Arabidopsis thaliana: one gene and its partner. The protein of the gene in region 2 interacts with the protein of the main gene of each other region in a pairwise test. Each region holds a gene or a part of one and is shown on either strand. Other genes may lie near its edges.

Region 1 (4,650 bases), on a different chromosome or scaffold from region 2:
AATCAGTAGCACTAGCAGAAGAATAGGAATTAGAAAAAGCTGATCCATTTTGCACAACAAATCTCAAATGACGCCATTTCTGCAACTGTACCAACCTTCTTCCATGGAGTATCACAGAATACATGACAAAGAAAATGCGAATACAAGAAGAGCAGAACCAACAAATCCCAGAAGTGTAAAAGCGATTCTACCCCAACTATCCGTTTCTATTCGAGAAGAAGACTCTGAAAATTTCTACTAAACTTACGATTGAGCGAGGAAGAAGAGCAAATTCATTCATCAATCAGTGACCCACCTTCTCATAGATTGTTAAAAGTGTGACCTTTTTCTCCATAGAGAATTAGAGAAGACTCAAAGATCCAATTATCCAAATTGAGGGAGGCAAAATTAAAAAATGAGCTCTTTAGGGTTTAGGCAAAGCCCTCGTTTTGTTTTAATTTAGAACTAAAAATAAACATACTGTTGTTATTTGGCTATACTTGTTTTTGTCTCACAACAACAACAGAAGTATTATTACAAGATGTAACAACGACATAGACTTTACATGAGCACACAAGAGTGTCTTCCTCTAAAGGTCACATACTATATGTCCATTTCTTGGACCAGAAGAGTGAGTAATATCCTTCAAGATTGTTTCGTACAAGACTAATTCATCATCCTTCAGGGTTAAAAGTATTCGTGTTCAGACAATCCAAAACCTCTAGATCTCTATTCTAGTTCTACCAATAACCTACATATGTCATGTAGTAAATAGTTGTGTTGCTGTTTCTTGGTTATTGTCCCAAACGGATTTCACATTAGAAGAAAACGGGTTGGATCCGGGTCAACTTAAGATTACAAAAGTCTAAATGGGTTTCAGACACTCATACACAAAATCTATTCTCTACTTCCAAAAGTCAAGCATCAAGATTCACTAATGAATCTAAACCTAACAGAAAACAAAAAAAAAATCCATCCTTGACTTTGCTCATTGTTCTAGGCGTGTCTTCTGATCGGTGAGTGAAACACGATCTCCGGTGAAGATAGCCATCAACTCAGCCACAAGCTGCTTGTCATCATGTTTCCTAACATACATATATAAAAACACCTCACTGGTACTTGTCAAAACAGAGGATATTGGAGGGAGTTCACTTTCGAGCAATCCTTTTGAGATGAGAACTTTGATAACATTACACCTTGGGACAGTCCTCTTCTCTAGGCTGTATCCGAGTACCTGAGGGATTGAAGCCACAGCCTTTAGTGGCCAATTCATCTCCGTCACCAGAAACTCAGTCTTCGTCTTCATCAACTCTGTAGAATATCCAATGCACTGAGGGAATCGCTTGACCATCATCAAAAACTCATCTCTGCTGAATCCTAGGCCTAGAAATGTTTCAACGGAGTTCTCTATCTTCTTCTCAGACTTTGTCAGAATGTTTGGCCACTTCTTGAACATTGCCCATACATCGTCCACAGCCAAGCCTAACCTTTTACAGGCATTGAATTTATTTTCAATTCCTTTGTCGCTTAATCCGTAAAGAACGTTAAGAGCTTTGACAAAAGTTGCGGTGGTTGGATCAAAACCAATCTCAACAGCCTTCTTGAGTGATTCTTTAAATTTTTCTTTACCACAAACATCTCCGGCATCGGATATAAGCAATGAGAATAACAACCTCTGAGGCACACCCATTTCTCTCAACACCAATAAATTTCTGATTTTGTTCTCCTGCTTACTACCCTCTGGCAAAGAATGACATAACTTTTCTAACTTGGAACTCTTATCCGCTTCTATAATGACTTTGACGAAATCATAGTATCTGCTGAGAGATTTGCCCTTTCTCTTCCCCAATATTTTCGGAACTGCAGAAACAGTCTCGGTGAGCTCAGAGCTTGAAGCACCTATGGACTGCAGAAACTGAAGCTTGGGAGCAAGGGATTTCTCAGCATCTAGGATAAGCAATCTTGGGAAAGTCCTAATGATGTTGGAGATCTGAGAATCAGTGAACCCATGACTTCTCAAAAGACTCAGAACAGAATCAGGGTTGCCCTTGTTATCGAAACTGACTTTCATGGAGATCGATTCAGCGACTTTTGTAGCTAAACCTAATGAATCAACGAGGTAAGAAACTGTAAAGTTGTGACCTTTTCGACCATCTCTTGAGCTCACATCAGCAGCAATAGCAGAGGAGGAGAAGGTATTGGAAAAAGCTGATCCATTTTGAAAAAGATTCACTGAAACCCTCAAATGGCGCCATTTCTGCAACTGGACCAACTTTCTTCCATGGAGAATCAGAGAATACATTACAAAGACAATGCAAATAACTCACAGTGTGCTAAATCTGATTCAATTCGAGAAATTGAATAAAGCTCTAACCTTTAGAGCCACGAAGCTTTTTCGCTTCGCAGTTTCCTATATCCTCTGTGTCTGTGTGGGAAGAAGCCTCGCCTCCGTTATACATCGGTGTTACTGCTTGCCGAATTCAAGTTCTGGAGCTGAACTGCGTGTCGCTCAAATTCAATCAAAACAAACCGGATGATCAATATAATTCGGTTTAGTCGACTCGTTCGATTTACTGGAAGCGATTATAAACAACATCCATTGACATGGTCACATGAACGCAACTTCCACTTGGGAAAGTCGTCATCAGATACATGAAGCTTCATTTGGATACGGTTCTTGATTTCTTCAAGTGTTTCTATGCTTTCAAAGCAAAGATCGTCCGATTGATCGAAAAGGGAAAAAACATTTGGAACTAGAGACCGAACCTGACTGGTTTAGTTGAAATGTGAACCGTTATTAACTATTTAAGCTAAAACAAATTGTTGAAATGTGACTACGACAAGAATATAAGTCATTTGAAACTACCAGTGACCGAACCTGACAGGTTTGTATCAAAACTCCGACTAAAACCTGTTATTCTGTCAGAACTCACTATACCTTTATAGTTTATACTGTTTTATGACTATCTATCTATTCACGTGAACATATTATATACAACACATTCTGCTTCTGAAGTAGACTCAATCCTACACGTACTGGCTGAATGATTCATTCCTTCTGGATCCACCTTCCCCGTAGTCTTCGTTCCATTGTCGAAGCGCTGTCATGTTGACAGACTTTGATGAGATGCTCATACTCACCTGATTCAACAACATCGACAACAGTTATACAGTTCTCTGAGCCAGAGACAGATTTGAGAAAAGAAAGCTCACAAGCAAAAATCATACCAGCTCGAGTGCGTTTCTGAAATCCTCCATTTTTAAAACTCGGAGATCAGAACCTCCACTTCCAGCTGGAGGAACTCTGCCTTCAGCCACAGCAGCATCTCGCTCCTACCATAATATATCTCATCATAAGCATATTTTTATTCTATAGACTAGTTTTAGGCAGCATAAAGTTAGTTTTCTTGGTTTAACACAAAGACTACTTACACTTTTTTCCTTCTCCACTATCTCTATGATTCGACGGCGGGCAGCAGTAACACATAGATTCTGCACGCACCAAAAGAGCATGTAACATGGATATATATGAGCATTACTTATCATTTCGTCAGACCATAGCAAAAGGTTAAAAGGAATTACTAGGAATTTTACCTTAAGATCGTTTCCAGAATATCCATTTGTCATACTAGCAACCTCATCAATATCGAAATCAGGGGACAAGTCTTCTTTTGAAAGTATCACCTTCAATATCTTTGATCTACTACGAGCATCTGGTAGTCCCACCATCAACCTGCAGAAGCCAATACCAAAAACTTGTTACGACATGTCAATTTGACAGAAAGCTTAGTCCAACAAGGAAGCTATATATAAATTACCTATGAGGCAACCTTCTAATGACAGCCTCGTCAAGGTCAAAAGGTCTATTTGTGGCTGCAAGAACCAGAACACGTTCCTTTTCATTTGTCCTCAGACCGTCCCAATTTATTATGAACTCATTTTTCGTCTTCAGCCTGTACCGATGTAGCATGCTTTCCACCTACAAGACAGTAAAATATTGTAAGACAGTCAATGCTCTGACTACAAGCAAGATTCGCCCACGAATTGACCATGAGGAATTACCTCGTCCAAAAAGATAATGCTTGGGGAAATTTTACTAGCCAACGAAAAGACAGCTTTGACATATTTCTCACCCTCACTAAACCACTGCAATATTGAGAAGAACACAAGTTTGAACAAGAGATTCCGTGTATAAATTGGTAGAGTCCAACTTTTCAAGGATATTCTGTTACCCTTGACATTGACATGTTGATGAGGTTAGCACCAGCTTCCGTTGCCACTGCCTTTGCAAGCATGGTCTTTCCAGTTCCAGAAGGTCCAAATAAGAGAATTCCGTTACAAGGCTGTGTAGAGAAGTACAGGAGCAGACTGATTAGGAAGCCACCAATCCATAACGTTAACATCTAAATTATAGGAGATAAATTTTTTGAGGAAAGCCAAATTATCAGCTAGTATTACTAATATCGTCATTACTTCACAAAACTTATGAACATGTATACTGGTACACACAAATAAAAGGTCCTTCACAGATCTGTCATCAATTCGAGGCAGGACATAGTGAAACAATATGGGAATTTCCTAAAACCAAATGCGGATAAGACAACCACCTTTGTTAATTGCCCCTTGCAGAAAAGTTCAGGCCATTGAAAAGGAAGCATAACCAGTTCCTTT
Region 2 (3,978 bases):
TTTCTGCTTTGCACTATTGGGCCGTTAAAGAAAAAGCCGAATAAATAAATACATGGGCTTATAAAGCTGGCTGGTTTATAACTCATATTATTAATGGGCCTACATTTGAATATTAAGATTGTAGCGGACCCGATTCGGGAAGCTCGTTACCACTGCCCCCGATCAAACCACTAGAACAAACAAGGGTCTTCAACATAACTATTAACTAGGATAACGATTTTAGACTTTGGATAAAATAAACAACATTTAGATGAAAAATCCTTACTCTAAACATAAATTTCCAGTTGCACATCATTATGAACAAGGCAGAGTGTTTTCAGTTTTTAGTCGATCAAACTAAGCCTTGTGTTACGAAACGTCACATATATACTTGCGACAATATGTTATTAACTGAAAAAATATGACAGATATTTTATTGATTGTTTATTTTTGTGTGATAGTTTATGTGAACGAACAGATCACTAGGAGCTGTGTGGAGTAACAGAATTCAAGTGGCTTTCCTTTGCTTGCGGAAGTAAATGAAGTATAGATTACGAAAATTAAATTTCTAACAAATAATAATAATTCACGATTACAGAATGGTCCACTATATAATAACGTGTACGATCCAATCATCCATCTCTGCATTATTATTTTCTTTGTAAAAAAAAAAAATATTTGTGTATCCCAATTGTTTCCTCTATCTATAAACAAATCCAACAACAAATTAACATTTCTTTTTAAAAATAATAATAATAATGCCAAGTCCACTCCAATCATTTTCATTACAGACCCAGTCAAGCTCAAACCGAAGCAACTGGAAAGAAACGACCGTTAATCTTCACCGTCCACTAACCCTTTCTTCGCTTGATAGTTGACTTTTTCCTCAAACTCAGTCAACGTTAAGAAGTCGTCACTGAGACTTGATCAGCCGGTAAGTTTAGGTCAAATCCACGGTGGCCACCGATCGCACTTTCTTCGGACCATCTCTCATTATCAACATCGCTGACGTCACTACCAGCGACGAGTTCTACGCTGTTGCTGCTACTTCCGTTACCGTTACCGTTGTTGCCACCGTCATAGTGACACCGTTTGTGTCCACCTAAGGCTTGACCAGACGCAAACGACTTGAAACAGATTGAGCAAGTGTGAATCTTTCCGCTTTGACTAACACCGTTACCAGTGTTCACGGTAACGTTAATAACAACGGAACCGCTGTTACTGTGACTGTTATTAGACAGTTCTTGGTTACCGGAAGTGATACTAGTGTTCGTCGGTTTCCGGTGACTCGTCTTGTGTCCACCTAAGGCTTGGTATGACGAAAAGGACTTCCCACAGACCGTACACTTGTAATCTCGGTGATCGGACGGTGACGCACGTGACGGTAGAGGAGGAAGAGGAGGAGATTGTACGGCGGAGCCACGAGCGAGCATGAGGAGACAAAGAGCGAGATACTCTTCTTCAGAAGGAAGGTTCTTGTTCGTTTCTTGATTCTGATGACCGTGATCAAAACGTTGACGTTTTGTTCGTTTTCTTTTAGCCCATTGCTCGAGATTCTCAGGCTCCATTTCTTCACGATACCGGAGAAGAGGCCGAGCGGTGGTGGTAGCTGTTGGAGAATTGAGAGTCTCGAGAGCCATAAGATTTAATTCTGTGAGATGTGATTTCGAGCTATTTAAGAAGAAGAAGATGAAGAAAGAGTGAAGTGTGTGGTGTATTGTAAGCACGTCTTGTGTTTGTGTTGTGTTTGTGTTTTTGAGAGTTAGTTTTGATTTATATATATATTTCTTGTAAGAAATCTTTAGAATTGGGATTGAGAGTGGGAACGTGGGCTATGAGTGATCAAGTGGTGCTGCTCTTGCTTTCTTCAATCCATTAAATTCCTTTATTTTATATTGACATATAGATGTAATATGTTGTCACTAATTTTGGATTATTAGAGTAACTATTTACCAAGTCAATGCAGTGTTTTTAGTTAGTAACTGCCAGAACTATGTTCAGAAACATCTTCAATTTTTTACGTTGAATTGAAAAAGATTACAACACTATGCGTCACTAATCACTATATGTAGTAGGTTGAAACCAAAAAATAAAAAATCACAGTTACGAGTTTATTTACTAAGCTAAGTATGCCACATAACTGAATTTTTGTTATTGATCATTGGCTGCTAAGTGCTAACTAAGTATACTTATTATTTTTTACTTTGTACTCACTCCTAATTAACCGTTTATAGATTTCGTGCTTGTTCAATGGTTTTATTTTCTCCACTTGCATTTTCTTAAATTTCCCAATCAACTATATGAATTACCCATTAATTTCAAATAGTCAGAAGACGAAGTTTCCACCAATTGTCGAGAATTCTTCAAAAGTTTTTAGTTAAACAAAAACCGAAATTTTGTATGACTTCCAAGTTGATTCTATATCACACTTTTCCTGGTAGTCACCCAAACTTTATATAACAATTGCAACAAATTAAAAAATAACGTCAATTAGGAATGTAAAAACTAAAATTAGGCAGACAATTGTTCTTGAAATGGAATGCCATATCTTCGGAGCTGTACTAAAATAAACAAATTAGAAAGAAGAAGAAGCTTTTGCCACTCTGGAGTATAAATCTTTTTCCCCGATTTGTGATATGTGGTGGCATTGGGATATAGCTTATCTGGCGTTCTCTCATTGGCTAAACAAGGCTGGATTCTTCTGGTGGACCACGTGGCGTAAAAAGAATGGTGAAACTTTTCGGTGGATAGTTAAAGTCGTTACGAGACTTAAAGCTCAGGCTAACATGACGGTGACACTTCGTTGCACCACCGTCAACACCGTCACATACACTATCCTATACTACTTGTTTACCTTCGAATTCGATTGGTTCGCCTTTTATTTTAGAAATAATAAAAGCTCACTTGATAAAAGAATGTACATAGGATTGTGTGTGTAAGACTTGCCCACTAGTCAGTAGTCCACCAACCAAAACACAAAAATGTTGAGTTAAAAAACAAAAAACAGAAGAAACTGAATGAGAGTAAAGTAATGTGTTAAATAACAATTGGGGGTCGTTGACGGAGATAAAAAAAGAATGAAAGAAAGTGGAGTAAGTCATAAGTCTTCGAGTTTGTTGTTGTATTATGAAGTGGGTCGTCGTTACTCATAACAGTTTTGTCTACTTAGTCAATTCAACTGCCAAAAAACGCTTCAACGATTATCTTAAAAGCTGTCGTTATGCAACTTATGATTGGGAACTTTTCTACGCGGTTTTAATGTAGAGTCACTTAATAGAAACAGTCCTTTGAAAATTTCTCAAAAATAAAAAAAATACGAAGAATACTAATCAGAGATCAATTGGTGACAGACCAAAAGCCCATCAACAAAAACAAACGACCCAAGGTTTATTTAACGCTTATATAAAACTTGGATATAAAACATTCAAAACAATCAGAGTGGCGCAGCGGAAGCGTGGTGGGCCCATAACCCACAGGTCCCAGGATCGAAACCTGGCTCTGATATAAGTTTTTGATTATTTTTTTCCATTTGGGCTAAAATAAGGCCCATTTCGGTTTCGGTAAAACAAAGCCCATTAATAGTGACAAGTGGGCCAAAGGACGGATTAAAAGTAAACAATAATTAAGTTAAACCCTAAATGATAAAAGAGTTAAACCATTGATTTAAACTAGTAAATTAATATCATCATTCTTCTTTGCTTCCGTTGTTTCTCAGTCTCCAGATCTTCAATGGCTGACAAATCTCTAACTCAGAACAAAACGGCAATGCTGATAACCTACAAAAGAAAAATCAAAGTCTTAAAATTTGCAATTCAGTTCTCTATTGAATCTTAAGGTAAATCTGAGTTATGAAACTTACTCGGGTCAGTGGTGATAAGCATGGCGGTTCCACCGAAAGAGCAAGTACCTCCGTTTCGTTTAGTCTTTTGCCAATAACTGTTGAAAGCATAAGAGGCATGAGCCATGACTGTGTCTGGATAGTAACATATACCATGAGGT

What was found.
Region 1: the proteins of ZF1 (region 2) and AT1G62120 interact in a two-hybrid assay, tested with the Arabidopsis thaliana proteins (one large-scale study listed by BioGRID).

What each region holds. Positions count from the first base shown.
Region 1 is NC_003070.9:22,959,359-22,964,008, forward strand, and holds AT1G62120 (Mitochondrial transcription termination factor family protein), read right to left. Parts: upstream 2,746-4,650; 5' UTR 2,282-2,745; coding exon 968-2,281; 3' UTR 781-967; downstream 1-780. Other genes in the region: AT1G62110 (Mitochondrial transcription termination factor family protein), read right to left, coding at 1-124; AT1G62130 (AAA-type ATPase family protein), read right to left, coding at 3,007-3,120, 3,208-3,312, 3,412-3,471, 3,574-3,712, 3,798-3,958, 4,042-4,125, 4,212-4,322, 4,587-4,650.
Region 2 is NC_003076.8:26,918,261-26,922,238, forward strand, and holds ZF1 (zinc-finger protein 1), read right to left. Parts: upstream 1,920-3,978; 5' UTR 1,620-1,919; coding exon 882-1,619; 3' UTR 505-881; downstream 1-504. Other genes in the region: AT5G67460 (O-Glycosyl hydrolases family 17 protein), read right to left, coding at 3,724-3,755, 3,839-3,978. UniProt on the Arabidopsis thaliana protein: Transcriptional repressor involved in the inhibition of plant growth under abiotic stress conditions.